Linked DNA regions of Mus musculus. The main gene of each other region encodes a partner of the protein of the gene in region 2 in a complex. Each region holds a gene or a part of one and is shown on either strand. Other genes may lie near its edges.

Region 1 (7,451 bases), on a different chromosome or scaffold from region 2:
GAGGTTGGGGGAATCATCCAGAATGCACCAGACCTGGGAGGTGAAAGACTCTTAGGACTCAAAGGAAGGGAACTTAGATGAAATGCTCTACAGTAGGAAGTGGGAAATTATAGAGCCCACTTCCAGCAGGAAGACAGGGCATCTAATAAGGGAGAGGGGGATCATCCCACAGTCACAACTCTGACCCCTAATTGTTCCTCTCTGAAAGAATTACAAGGATGGAAATGGAGCAAAGCATGAGGAAAAAAGGTCCAGCCACAAGACCAAAGTGGGATCCAGCTTGCGGGGAGGTCCTAAGCCCTGACACTACTACTGAGGCTATGGAATGCTCTCAAAAAAGGGACCTAGCATGACTGCACTCCGAAAGACCCAACAAGCAGCTGAAATAGTCAGAGGCAGATAGTTGCATCCAACCAATGGGCAAAAGCAGCTGAACCCTGTTGTTGAATTAGAGAAAGACTGAAAGAAGCCGAGAAGGAGGACAACCCTGTAGGAGGACCAGCAGTCTTAATTAGGAAGTCTATTAGGAAGTGTGGCCTTGTTGCAAGAAATGTGTCACTGGACCACTGAGATCTCTCAAACACTAGATCATCAAAAAAGACAGAATACACCAGCTGATATGAGGTTCCCAACACACATACAGTAGAGGATTTCCAGGTCTGTGTTCATTCAGAGATGCTGTACCTAACCCTCAAGAGACTTGAGGCCCCTGGGAGTTTAAAGGTCAGGTGAGGTGGACAGTGGGACATCCACCAGGACTCAGAGGGATGGGGAGGAGGTATGAGATGTGGAACAGTAAAACGGTTGACATATTAAATATGAGGATAAAATATTGAGAGTAAAAAAATAAGTAAATATCAAAAAAAAAAAATGAAAAACTATTTGCAAACATGACAGAACCATCACACAAGAACTCAGTAACAGGCTTTGACGGCAAGTACAAAATCTGAACACGATGAAGCCAGAAAAATTCCCAGCATGAATGGAAGAGGAGTTCTTGATTTTCACCCCTAACTATAAGGCTATTTATTAGCAACTGATGCTGCTGTGAAGTAAAAATAAGTTTTCAGAAGTTGGACCCGGATTGGCTATCCATTCCTCAACAGATTTTCACATACCCATGCACAAATGAGTAGCATTAAAGGACCTCAAGGGGCTTAAAGAAGAAGAGAGCAGGAACTAAGAAGTGGGGAAGAAAATTGGTGGTGATGTATAGAGGAAAGAATCAGAGAGGAGGGAATTAGGATCAATTTGACCAAGGCACTTGATATACATGTATGAAAATCTCAATAAAAGAACATATATATATGTATGCATATTCAACTTATGAAGAGTTCATGACTTGTGGACTATAAGAAAATTTCAAGTTGTTGTGTTGTTTTTAAATAAAACCTTAAACCATGTGAAAAAGTGAAATCCAGTCTTCCAGAAAGAAAATCAGTGGAGCAAGTCAACAGCAGCAGGAAATCCGTCATTGTAGTGGGCAAAACAGAAGGGTCAGAACACTGGCACTCGCCTTACTCTTCTCTGCAGACTGTGCTTCGGGACCATGCAGGGCTGGGGCTGTTACTGGGATTGATTATCCCTAGAGCAGAGTTAGCGCACAGAATCTCACTAAAACCAGATTCATCACACTAGGAGTTTTCAATCACGATTATAGTAATGATCAAAGAAAAGTTTGATTTAAAAAAAAAGAGAGAGAAGATCACTGTGAATAAAATGTAGGGAATCTTATCAAATAAATCTGTTTCCAGATTTTTATTACTATGTAAAAGTAAGGCCATGTAGAGTATAATCAGTTTATAAGATGTCCCAGGGATTTGTTCACTAGATGTAAATTTAGGGGAAAACTTGTTATTTTCAATGAGTCCTGGTTTCTCTTCATTTCTGTTTCCTTGCCTAAAACTTCTGTATTTGCTCTTTTCTTATAAAACCCAAGAAGAAAGATCACTGTGCATACCAACATTTTGTCAAGTCTAACCATTTTTTCTAACTGGATTCAGAAACTGCAGCACCAGGATTTGGAAAATATGATCTCTGGGAGATATATACAACTATAAACAAGCCATTGTATTTTCTTTCAAATGGTGCTAAGGACTGTAAATAGTGAAGTATATTACCTGGAGCACATAAAATGGACATGAATTTACACCTGTCTCATATCTATAATCGTTATTGAGGTGGTTATTTATATTCTTCTTATAAGTCACCTGAAAGACACAGCAGTTTTATGTCCTCCGATTAATTTGGCACCCTCAAATGTGTAATGATGTGTGAACATTAAAATTCAAAGTGTTTCAAAGTGTTTAAAACTGTTTTATTAATGTACCACAGATATTTACAAGAGCTTAGTAATATACATTTTCTTCTTTCCAAACAAGTCTGTATTAAGAATATGTCTTGTGATAGAGGCTGGAGAATGGATTTACAGAATGGTTTGCTCTCAGAAAATTCCCAAAGATCCATGGATTGGTTCATCTCGAAAGTGGGTGAATAGCAAAACAGTAAAAAACCCCAACCATTGACAGGGACTGGGTGCTGGGCTTCGAGATCTGAACTCCTGTGGAACTCAAACCTGGAAAATACAAAAATCAAAGAATTACCTCACAGGACGTAAAACTGCCTACTGTATTAATTTCATGAGACAGAAATTACGCTGTCATGTTTGTTTTTTAATAATAATATTTTACTATATTAAATGTAAATTTAAGACACATCTCCTCCTATTATAAGATGCCACCTCAAATGTAAAAATGAATAGTAAAAGTGCCCAAATTGGTGAGGACTACTTGAAATTATATTAGAACTGGCCAACATTTGGTGACCAATGACTTCTACTTAGAAGTTTCATGAAGATGTGAACTTGATGCTTTAAATGCAAAACTAGTAGTTAGTATTACTTGATAACTGTGGAACTGGCCTCCTTTCACCATGATTGAGAAGCCTTCAGCTTAGTATAAATGCTATGACCGATTGTTGATGTTTGCCACGGACATAGAAAGAACCACATAGGGATAGATGCTTCAATTTCACTGTTTCTTCTTTGAGACCTTTGACCATTTGAAAGAAAAAAAATCCTACATTTTGTGCAAAAATAGTGAATCATGAAATTATTTCCCTTTTTCTTTTCATTAATTTTCTTTGATTTTATTCTTAACTTTCTCTTTCTTAACTTCATTTCCTTCTACCTTATTTATTTATTTATTTATTTATTTATTTATTTATTTATTATTTTGTTTTCAAATAAGAAAATTATCCAAGGAGCTAAAGAGATCTGCAACCCTATCGGTGGAACAACATTATGAACTAACCAGTACCCCAGAGCTCTTGACTCTAGCTGCATATGTATCAAAAGATGGCCTAGTCAGCCATCAATGGAAAGAGAGGCCCATTGGTCAGGCAAACTTTATATGCCCCAGTACAGGGGAACGCCAGGGCCAAAAAATGGGAATGGGTGGGTAGGGGAGTGGGAGGGGGGAGGGTGTGGGGGACTTTTGGGATAGCATTTGAAATGTAATTGAGGAAAATACATAATAAAAAAAAAAGAAAATTGTAAAAACGCCTACCCATTGTTATGAGAAAAACTGGCTTGTCACTTTTGGCTCACAATTGAAAATGGAAGCACAGACCTTTTGCTTTGTCACAAAACATTTACTTAACAACCTGAAAGTCCCTGGGAACATTTGTGCTGCAGGTGCCCAGATCAGACAAAGCAGCAACTCAACTCACTTGACATTTTTGGAATTCTGATTTCCTCACTGCTGCTTCCATCTCCACCATCACTGACTGTTCTGATTTCAATCAAATAGTCTTCTTCAAATGGAACCAGGAGTTCAGCAGATGTATTATTTGTTTCCAAAATATGAGTTTTACTCTGTCGGTTCTGCCGATAGAGGATCTGTACGAAAGGGAGAGTCAAGTTCAGATGGGTTTGGTGGGTACTGAGGGTTCAGATGCTGTTATGATGAGGGACAAGGAACAAGTTTAAATCAATGCTCTCACTTATGTTAAAAGAACCATTATCAACATTGTACTCCTTACATGCAAACATTCAGGTTGGCTTATCATTACATTTATTATTGGGAAATAATATTTCTTTGGGATCCATGTCTCAGGTATGGAGTTTGAGTACATTAGTTATAGGGATTACTATGAAAACACACTTTCAGTTTGGATCCATTACAAATGTCTGAATATGTATGTCTGCCCAGAGTTAATTTACATTAACACTAATGGGGATCACTTACCCTGGGCACTCAGAGATGCTCTTAATACTTAATAATATTCTTGTGAGATTCCTTTTGTGCTGTTAAAAGCCCATATCTACTGTGTCCTAATTTTTTTATACTCCATTTAAACTTACTCCTTAACATCAATCATGAATTGCATCTACAATAAAAACCTGTAATTTCTTGATAGCAAAAGCAATCATGTGGAGAAAAATGATTTCATACTGTAGGACTTAGATTTTTTATTCTCCATACCATGTTACTCCATATCCGTTACTGAAACTAGAACATACAATGTTTATCGAAAACTCAGATGACAGCAGATACTGGGAAGGATGTAGAGAAAGAGCAACAGTCCTCCATTGCTAGTGGGATTGAAAGCTGGTACAACCACTCTGGAAAGGAGTCTGATGTTTCCTCAGGAAATTGGACATACTACTACTACCTGAGGACTCAGCTACACCATTCCTGGGTATATAACCAAAATATGCTCCAACATACAACAAGGACATATGCTCCACTATATTCATAACAGCCTTATTTATTGTAGCCAGGAGATGGAAAGGACTCAAATGTCCTTCAACTGTGGATACAGAAAAATGTGGTACATTTACACAATGGAGTACTACTCAGCTATTAAAAACAACGGCTTCATGAAATTCACAGGCAAGTGGACGGAACTAGAAAATACCATGCTGAGTGAGGTAACCCAGTCATAAAAGAACACACATGGTGTATACTCACTGATAAGTGGATATTAACAAACAAACAAACAAACAAACAAAAAGGCTCAGAATGCTCACAATACAACTCACAAATCATATGAAACCCAAGAAGAAGGAAGACCAAAATATGGATGATTCAGTCCTACTCAGAAGGGGGAAAAATAATCATGGGAGGTATCTAGAGGGAGAGGTCTGGGAGGGAGAGAGGAGGGAAGGGAAAAGGGAGCAGGATCAAGTGTGGGAGGAGAAAAAGGAAAAGTTCAGTGGATCAGGAAATTGAATGGAGGTGTGTAGCAGTGGTGAATGGAGAACTTGGTAGCCACTAGAAAGTTCCAGATGACAGGGACCCAAGAGGTTTCCAGGACTCAACAGTTATGGCATTCGCAGAAATACCCAACAAAGGGGAAAGAGAACATGCAGAGACCATATCCAGTGGATAGGAACTACCCCCAATTAAGGTATGGGACCACCCACCCATCTCAAAAAGAGTAATCCAGGATTCCTCCTGTCAAAAGGAAATGCAGGGACGAACAGTGGAACAGAAACTGGCCATCCAGTGTCTGCCTTGCCTAGGGAATCTATCCCATCTATAGACATTAACCCCAGACACTATTGCTGATTCCAAGAAGATTTTGCTGACAGGAGCATAGGGTAGCTGTCCCCTGAGAGGCTGGGCCAGAGCCTGACCAATACAGATATGGATGCACACAGCCAACCATCAGAATAAGCATAAGTCCCCAGTGGAGGAGTTAGGGGAAGGACTGAAGGAACTGAAGGGGTTTGCAAACTCATAGGAAGAACATCAACATCAAGCTGCCAAGGACTAAACCAGCAACCAATGAGTACACATGGAGGGCTCCAGGTGCCCATGACTCCAGATGCATATGTAGCAGAGGATTACCATATCTGACATTAACATGAGGGGAGCTCCTTGGTCCTCTGGAGGTTCGATGACCACCTCCAACTAGGGAAATGCTAGGGCACTGAGGTGGGAATGGCAGGTGAGGGAGGCAATACTCTCACAGAAGCAGGGAGAAAGAGGTGGCAATAGAGGATTTAACTGGGAAGGGGAAAAACATTTGAAATGTAAATAAATAAAAAATCTAATAAAATAAAATTTAAAAAGAGAAGCAAGAGTAGATTGAAAAGTATTTTAATTCTAATAGATACATAGGTACAAATTTCATTTCTTCTTGATTATGACATTGCTGAATCTTTAATAACATATTAGATTAAATAAAAAAGTAAATACTTACCTTGTAGCCCAGCACTTCAGACTCATTTTCCATGGTTTTTACATGCTCCCAGTTCAAGCATAATTTAGAATTTGACAGCTTCCAGGCAATGTTTGCTGGTGGTTGGCTAGGAGCTTTAAAATACAATAAAGATCCAAATGAATATTAATTAGTTAACAGTATAATGCAGCCTCATGACAAGAAAAGTAAAAATCCCATCATTAGCGTAAAAGGAATGAAATGGTTTATTGTTATTTTAAATATCATACTGATTCTAATCATAGCAAGCAAATTTATTCAAATTTTGATTATTTGGGAAGGTCTTTGTGACAGACTTATGAATTAATAATAGTTTGCTGACTGTCCAGTATTAATATATTAATCATTGATATTAAGTTTGCTTACTTTACAATATAGAAAAAGATGGAGGATTGGGTTATATAATTTTGAAATTGGCTATTAATGCTAACTAAAGTTTGAAGCATTCTATATAGATGCATAGTCACATAAATATTGTGTTCATGCTTTTTATATACAGTTCATTGTGAATGCTCATCAAATCCATAATGCTATATTACTGTTTTTCAGTGAAGTTAACAAAATCAATTTAAGATACTTTAAGCAAAATAACACACATGAAATATGAAATGCATATTTATAGGATAATTTTTAGATCCCTGCCGGAATGCTGCAGAGCCTCAAGAGAAGGAGAGTCACCAAGTGAACACATTCCTTCTGGGCCTCTTATTGCATGGCCATGTTCCTTGGCCAGTTGCCCATATAGACTACTTGTCATTCAATGTGTGTGACTGAAATCACAACTGTGAACAGTACAAAAAGCTTGAACATTCTTCTATATAGGATAGCCCAGGATAAAAATTCTTAAAAAAAATCTGGTGGTTGTCAATCATATGACTACAGGCCTTAATTTGGATACATATTTATGATAGTTCAAGCAAAGGTGGCTGTGCACTGAAAAAACTATTCTTTATACTATTAATAATGCTCTGAGAACAGAAAACAGAGAAAAATCTTCGCAAATACATTGATCACTCCAAATAACACTTATTCTGAACCCGGTCCTTTGAAATTAATGTTGTGTTCGAGTAGAGGAGTATCACATATGGAAAGGAGGATGTAGAATTATCATTCTAAAATACTAGATGCAGTTCAATTTTTAATTATTTACATATGATACCTGTAATGTGACTTATAGAGTAAAAAGTCACTTGTCCCAAAGTATACCACGAACAAGTAGTTGA
Region 2 (7,088 bases):
ACTTTGGCTGCAGGCACTCCCTTCTTCTCAGCACTAATAAGACCAGAGCTTTATCAGCATGGCCTTCTGCCCAACTGAGAGGCACTTATCAACTTTATTCTGCAGAGAAGCCGAAACTTGCTTGAAGGTCTAGTGAACGGGGCAGAGAGGGAGCTACTGAGTTGTAGCTACTCCTACAAACTTTAAATGTGTTCTGACCAGAGGGATGGAAGCTCTACTCTCTTCTCCCTTTTCCTGGAGTCTGGGGTCCACCTCCTGCTTCCTCTTACAAGAATCAGTCTTGGAACCCCACCTTTCAGCTTCCCAGTTCAAGCACATAACAGACACTGTTTTCTGACACTCTGTAAAAGAAATGTTTCTCAGAAGCTGGCTGAATGCATGCAGTCCAACTCCACCCCTTCTCTTAAAAGAGGAAACACACTGGCTCATGCCACACCACTATGCCCATCTGTACACACAGGAAAAGTTAATGGCACAAGTCACTTCTCTTGCTGGTATTTATCCCTGGGTTTGCCATTTCAGTTAAAATCTTACCCTCAGCCTAGCTAACGCTCCCTTCACTATCTTGGCTTTCCCAGTGTTTGAACTCCATCCTTATTACTGCTTCTTCCTCTCTGTGGTCCACTTCGGCTTCTAAAGCCATCCAAACTCACTCCTGGTTTAGGTTCTCTCCTCCTGCCATTCCAGCAGCCTAGAATGTTCTTCCATGGGTCTGTGAGTGGCTAACTACCTACACTGGTCCCACTGCAAATGCTATTTAAGGTCACTCAGTTTTTGCTGCGGGATCCTAAACCTTTCCCATGAACATGTACCCCCAAGAGAATAGAAGTCTCCATCAATGGTCTTTTCCTAATGCCTTGTCTAGAGCCTGGCATCCAGTAAAAAGGAACTCCTTATTTATTATATTTAACTGCAAGAAATTCAACTGTTACCCAGCAGTTTCTCAGGGAAATGTCTAGTTTACACAACAGCACCATCCATGGCTCCACATTTCCTTCATCCATACAAGGCTCCTGTGCCTTTCCATCAAACTGCCCCACACTTAACAATACCCATGGGAGACCCCTTCTTAGGAAAAAAATTAGTTCATAGCAGCTCTGAGGGAAAGTAATTCAACACATGAAAATGTATTCTAAGTTGTATGTTAACATACGAGATCTCAGCTTTAGATGAATTTTAATGTTTACAAGTGCAAAAGCAAATAAATATTTACCAGTTGCCTTTTTTTTTTGCACTCATAATTCCACAACAGCTTAAATGAAAAAAACATTGTTGCTAAATGTCTTGCAGTCTGGCAACACGAAGGGTTTCTTATTAAGAAAAGCCCTCACAACAGTCACAGCCCCTCATGCCATAGCACAAGCGTCAGGATGGTTCATTAAGATCTGAGCATGTGACATCCACAATGGTGTCAACTACCTGAGGATCCCAGGGAGTGGGGGCCAAGCCGGCCACGTCTGCTTCCCCAGCTGGAAATGGGGAATTGCATGTAGCCACCTGGGGCTTAAGGACAGCCAGCTTTCCAGCCACGTCTACTTCCCCTGCTATAGATGGGGTCATTCATAAGGCTACCCGTGACTTGTCACAGCTACCCTTACTGATGAGGTATGATCATGGACTACTAAAGCCAGGAGGCTCCAGATTGGACATGTCACTTTTTCTCATTTAGGGTGGGTCTCTATCCTCCTCATAACTGTCAGTCACAACATCCTAACTATATCTTTTATCATTCTTTCATAAGCAAACATCCCAGTTGGGTAGTTTCCTGTCTTGCCAAAAACACACATGTCAGCAGCTTGTTCTCCAACATCCCTGCTACCTAACTCCTTGGAATGTACTCTAGCAAGCTGCCATCAGTCATCTTTCTGTCATCCCCCTCTGCCAGGATGCAGGTAAGGAGTTCCCCTGGCAGATTATCCAGCCTAGTGCCTAGCACAACAATAGCTACCAGGAAATAAATTGTTTGTATTTAATAAATGATTAAGGAATAAAAGCATGTGTGTGTGTGTGACTGTATGTGTGCATGTGTGTATGCATGTGTGAGTGTGTGTGCATGTGAGTGTATGTGTGAGTGTGTGTATTTGTGTGCATGTGTATATGTGGGTGTGAGTGTACATTTGTGTATGTGGGTGTGTGGGGTGTTTATGTGTGCATGTACGTGTGTGAGCACTCAAGTTTGTGTATCATGTATACATGCATGTGAAAACTGGAGAACAACTTTGGATGCTGACCCTCAAGAGCCACCCATCTTGGCTTTTGAGACAGGTTCTTTCACTAACATAAAACTCACAAAGCTGGCTATCTGGCCACTGAGTCCCAGGAATCTGCTTGACTCTGTCCACCAACTGCAGCAGTTACAAGTGCATGTAACTGTGCTTTGCTTTAAAAAACAAAACAAAACATAGGATTGGGGCTCCAACTTCATGCTTTTGAGGCAAGTGATCCACAGTGGTGTCAACTCCCTGAGGATCCCAGGGAGTTTCCTTTGGCTATTACCCTCCCCACCCGCAGGAATAAAGTCAGAGTGAGCAAACTTAGATCCAGTGCCTACTTTCTTCATTTAGATCTGTCTGAGGCCTTGGCTTCTTCTGAAATAGACAGAAAGATAGAGAAAGACTTGTTCCAGTGAGAGAATGCATCTCATTAGGGTGACACAAAAAGAGGTGGTTTCATGCATAGAACACCAGGGACACGGATAACCCCAAGGAGCTAACTACTTCCCCAGTCCTCATTCTCCAGGTCCCCAACGTTTAGAAATAGGTCCAGCCTGTTCACAGCAGCCCCAAACCTCACATGTGGACCAACCCCACTTACCTGGGTTAACTGTGATGAATTTGCTATCCTCAGAAAATCGGTCCCCTCGGGACATAGGCTTTTTAGATGGCATTTCGGGCCTCCTGGGATCACTCCCTGAATAATGTTCCTCTGTGGCTGTTGGGGGCACTTGGGTGGCTGTGTCCACAAGGGGATCCAAGTCTGGGGCAACGTGGCCCGGCTGGTCTGTGGCAGGGGCAGAGTGGTCCTGCCTGCGCCCAGGTATAGTCTGATGTCCTCCCTCCGCTGCAGTCCTATGAGGGGAAGAGGGGGTGGGGGCAGGTGCAGTCCGGTCACTCTCTGCGGCTGTGTGAGTAGCCTCACTCTTCTCCTTCTTCTCAGAGTCCTTCTCTTCCTCCTCATGCTCTCGCTCACCATCCTCGCTCTCGCTTTTCTCCTCCTTCTCTCCCTCCTCTGTACCCTCGCTGTCCTTCGTCGGTGCCGAGTCGACATCCGGCCCAGGGGAAGCTAAGGCCTCGGTGGTGGCAAGAACTGTCCTCCCTGCCTGCTTGCTGGCTGCAGATGCGGTGGGAAGGCGCGTGGGCCACACGGTACTGGGGAAGGAGGAGATGCCACCACCACCGAAGCCCAGGCCTGCCAACAGTGTGCTGGTGACCACAGAGGCCACTGTAGCTTGGCTGCCACTGGAGGAAGGGCCCATCCCAGTTGCCATGGAAACAAATGAGAAGGGGATGCCGGAGGATGTCCAAGTGGAAGAGCCAGAGCTGATGGGGGCCATGTCTGCTGAAGAGGCAGGAGAGGCTGTCGGCTGAAAGGGCCACCCAGGGTGTGGAGAAAAGGAGATGAAGAAAAAATGTAGAGTGTATCAGTAACCAAGAATCAACTCGAGGCCCTGTTCTGCAAACACCCAGATTGTAGTCTCCTCTGTTATGAGTTTTCATAAGCTACAGTGTGAAAGCTGACCAGTGCTGGCCCAGGGTGACCAAGTCTTACTTCAGTGGCTTTAAAATTACTTTGAATTGAAACCTTAACTAGTGTATCGAACTCAGGTGTTCTCTGATGTGGCTCAGGGCTGGCCTAGATGGGGAAACAGAAGCATTACGAGTAAGTCATAAAATGTCCAGGTCAACCCATCATGGGGAGGGGGTGGTGAGAGGCAGGAGTCAATGTGTGCTGTTTTGCAGGTGACTGCCTAGCTCTGAGATGTGGAAAATCAGCAGACAGAGTCAAGGCCACTGTCATACAGCAAGGAAGTCAACAAAGCCAGAGGGAGGGTAGCCAGCCCAGGTCAGCAATGGCAGTGGCAGAAGCGGCAGGCATACTCTGGACATGGGATTGAAGACGTAGTTCCTGTCTCTGCAGCTTCTGGTTGCATGCAGCCCAGCTATAGAGCCTTTGGAGTGTCTGCATTTCTCCACAGTACAGACTCTGCCTCTGCGCCTGCAACACTCAGGGTGACAACAGGCACTCCTCTTAGGATGTGCCACCCCTGTGCTGGGGCTCACCATGCTACCCATTCTCTGGGTAGGGAAACTGAGGTGTGTAGGGGATAGGGAGCTTATTCAAAGTGCATGACTGTGAAGCCTCGGTGGCAGGGCTGCACGTGGACAAACCTCAGCTCATCCTTTCCTTATGCTGAACAGGGGCATACTCATATACGGCATCTTCTACCCAAACCAGGATGTGTTCGGGGATAACAGCACAAGTTCAGCCCTTACAAGCAGGCACAGAAAACCCCAAACTATACCTCACTACTTATACTAGTATAAACAGTTAATCAGAGCAAGACACATTTTGGAACTTCATTCAACTTCACATGGAAACCTTACAGTTTAAGGATAGCCATGAGTACCAAAAATCAACTCTCACATAAGACTAAGCGCCAAACACAGAAAAGCCCTTCAACTGAATGTTGAGTTGACTCCTTGCCTCACTGTGTGATGATGGGCCCATCTGTTTAACTCAGTTTCTTCACCTTCACCCTAAGGTCTTTGAAGATGCAAACAGAATAACTTGTGTCTGAAAACTGGGATGTACTTAGTGAGTTTCAGGCTACAATTATCCCAGCGCTGGTCATTTCTTATGAGTAGATGTGGGCGACAACCTCTTCATTGCACCATAAGGTGAGTGAAGGGCTCTGAGTGGATGAACTCCTGTATCACTTGATTCTGGCGGTCATTCATAATTACATATCTGAAATATTTTTATTTTGACAAAATTATACATCAGAAGCCACCAATATTCCTCCATGGCACAGTAAATTATACAGCAAAATGCATGCTTATCTCTGAAGGGCTGTATGTGTGCAGTTCAACAACATTATGCTGACACCTTGTGGTCACAGCTTTGACTGCATCCAAATTACCACTTGTAACAGAGCAGCCAGCGTTCTCCACTTACCACTCCTGTTTTCACAATCCTGGTCCCTTGGAAGATCCGGGTAGTATTAGCTGAGAAACAAAGAAGTTATGATGTAAACAACACACAATGCTCAGATGTGCTCCCAATAAAACCTTCCAATGGACACACAAATCTAAACTACACATAATTTTCATGTTACAAATATTATTTCTTTGTACTCTTTCCAACCATTCCCCCTCCAAGTCATACAGACATATTCAGATGACTGGGATCTAGCCAACTGTTTCTGCCAAGCAATTCACCTAAACTCTGTAATTATTAAGGTTTTGTTTCATTGAGATAGAACTTCAACAACAGTGAGATGCCCAGGATTCGATTACATCTAACACCTGAGCAACTACATTAAGGTGCATTTTCTTTCTTTTTAAAAATGATTTATTTATTATGTATACATAATTTTGCCTGCAGGTATGCCCGTAGGGCAGAAGAGGGCACCAGATCTCATTACAGACGGTTGTGAGCCACCATGTGGTTGCTGGGAATTGAACTCAGGACCTCTGGAAGAGCAACCAGTGCTCTTAAACCTCTGAGCCATTTCTCCAGCCCAGGAAGCATTTTCAAGTACTGTTGGGTTTCTGGGTTTCATATATTTTTATTTAAATGGGATTATATCACTCCAGTGTTTTTTCTCTATTGCCCCTTTGTTCACTATTTCTCATCCTTTCAATGACTCTAACATGTATCTTTAACTTACAACAATTTACTATTTTCTTTCTTTCTTTTCTTTCTTTCTTTCTTTCTTTCTTTCTTTCTTTCTTTCTTCCTTCCTTCCTTTTTCTTTCTTTCTCTCTCTCTCTCTCTCTCTCTCTCTCTCTCTCTCTCTCTCTCTCTCTCTCTCTCTCCTTCCTTCCTTCCTTCCTTTTTTTTTTTTTCTTCAGGACAGGGTTTCTCTGTGTAGCCCTGGCTGTCCTGGAACTCACTCTTTAGACCAGGCTGGCCTCAAACTCAGAAATCCGCCTGCCTCTGCCTCCCAAGTGCTGGGATTAAAGGCGTGTGCCACCATACCAGGCACTTTACAGTTTTCTAAATCTGTATTACATTTATGTATATATTTATTAGAAGGCTGGGAATGGGATGTATGTGGGAGAGGGGGGTGCACACGGTGGAGCAACTTGGCGAAGTTGGTTCTCTCAGTAAATCACGTGGGTCCTGAGGACTGAGCTCAGCTCATCAGGTCTGGCTGTAAGTGCCTTCACAAATGGGGCCATTTTGCCAGCCCTATAGTCTATCTTGAATTAATCCTTTTACTTTCCCAGCAACGCCTCTATTGCTCCTCTCATTGTGTACTGCTGGGTACTCTCTTCCTGCTTGTATCTGATAGTCTCTACATAAGTTTTACATGGTCACATGAGTTTATCTTCAATGCTTGTTGCCCTATCTGGTGTTCATGCTTCTTACAGCTCTGCTTTCCTATGTGGGTGTTCTTAAGCAATGCCACCTTGGTGTCTATCAAGTTGTATGAAGAGGCAAAGAATATGAAATTTATCATATTAGTCATTTTTAGTGTCTGCACCAGTAATGTTCTGTGTATTTGCTTTACTGTGTAACTGACCTCTCCACCATCTATCTCCAGAACTTCCTTATCTTGTAAAATGAAACTCCAGGTACAAACTCACCAACTCATTTCCTTTTACATGATCTCTGGGGACCACCATGTAGTGGTGTTTTCTATTTTTGTGTGTGTGACTACTCTAGAACTGCATATACATGTGATCATGCATATTTGTATTTTGTGACTGATGTATTTCACTTGGCATAATGTCCTTAAAGTCACCACTGTAATGAAGGCATAGACCAGAATTAAAAAAAAATTTTTAAATGCTCAATAATTGTCTCTATCACACCTGTTTAGATATTCACCTCTTGATGGACAATTTGCTCCTAAATAATGC

The links. The genes of interacting proteins can lie anywhere in the genome.
Region 1: the proteins of Ptprg (region 2) and Cntn6 are in contact, whole or in part, in a crystal structure (PDB 5E5U), measured with the Mus musculus proteins. Residues at the interface, in NP_033007.2 of Mus musculus: Val225, His226, His227, Lys229, Phe288, Thr290, Gln292, Gln293, Asp294, His295, Val296, Lys297, Ser298, Val299, Glu300, Tyr301; in NP_059079.2 of Mus musculus: Arg129, Val132, Arg135, Gln138, Gly139, Val140, Val141, Leu142, Leu143, Cys144, Gly145, Met222, Gly223, Tyr225, Glu226, Pro227, Lys228, Glu230, Leu252, Asn306.

The regions. Positions count from the first base shown.
Region 1 is NC_000072.6:104,858,251-104,865,701, reverse strand, and holds the end of Cntn6 (contactin-6 precursor), read right to left. Parts: intron 6,324-7,451; coding exon 6,211-6,323; intron 3,899-6,210; coding exon 3,730-3,898; intron 2,576-3,729; coding exon 2,475-2,575; 3' UTR 2,296-2,474; downstream 1-2,295. UniProt on the Homo sapiens protein: Contactins mediate cell surface interactions during nervous system development. Participates in oligodendrocytes generation by acting as a ligand of NOTCH1.
Region 2 is NC_000080.6:12,150,153-12,157,240, reverse strand, and holds part of Ptprg (receptor-type tyrosine-protein phosphatase gamma isoform 1 precursor), read right to left. Parts: intron 5,226-7,088; coding exon 5,176-5,225; intron 3,584-5,175; coding exon 2,815-3,583; intron 1-2,814.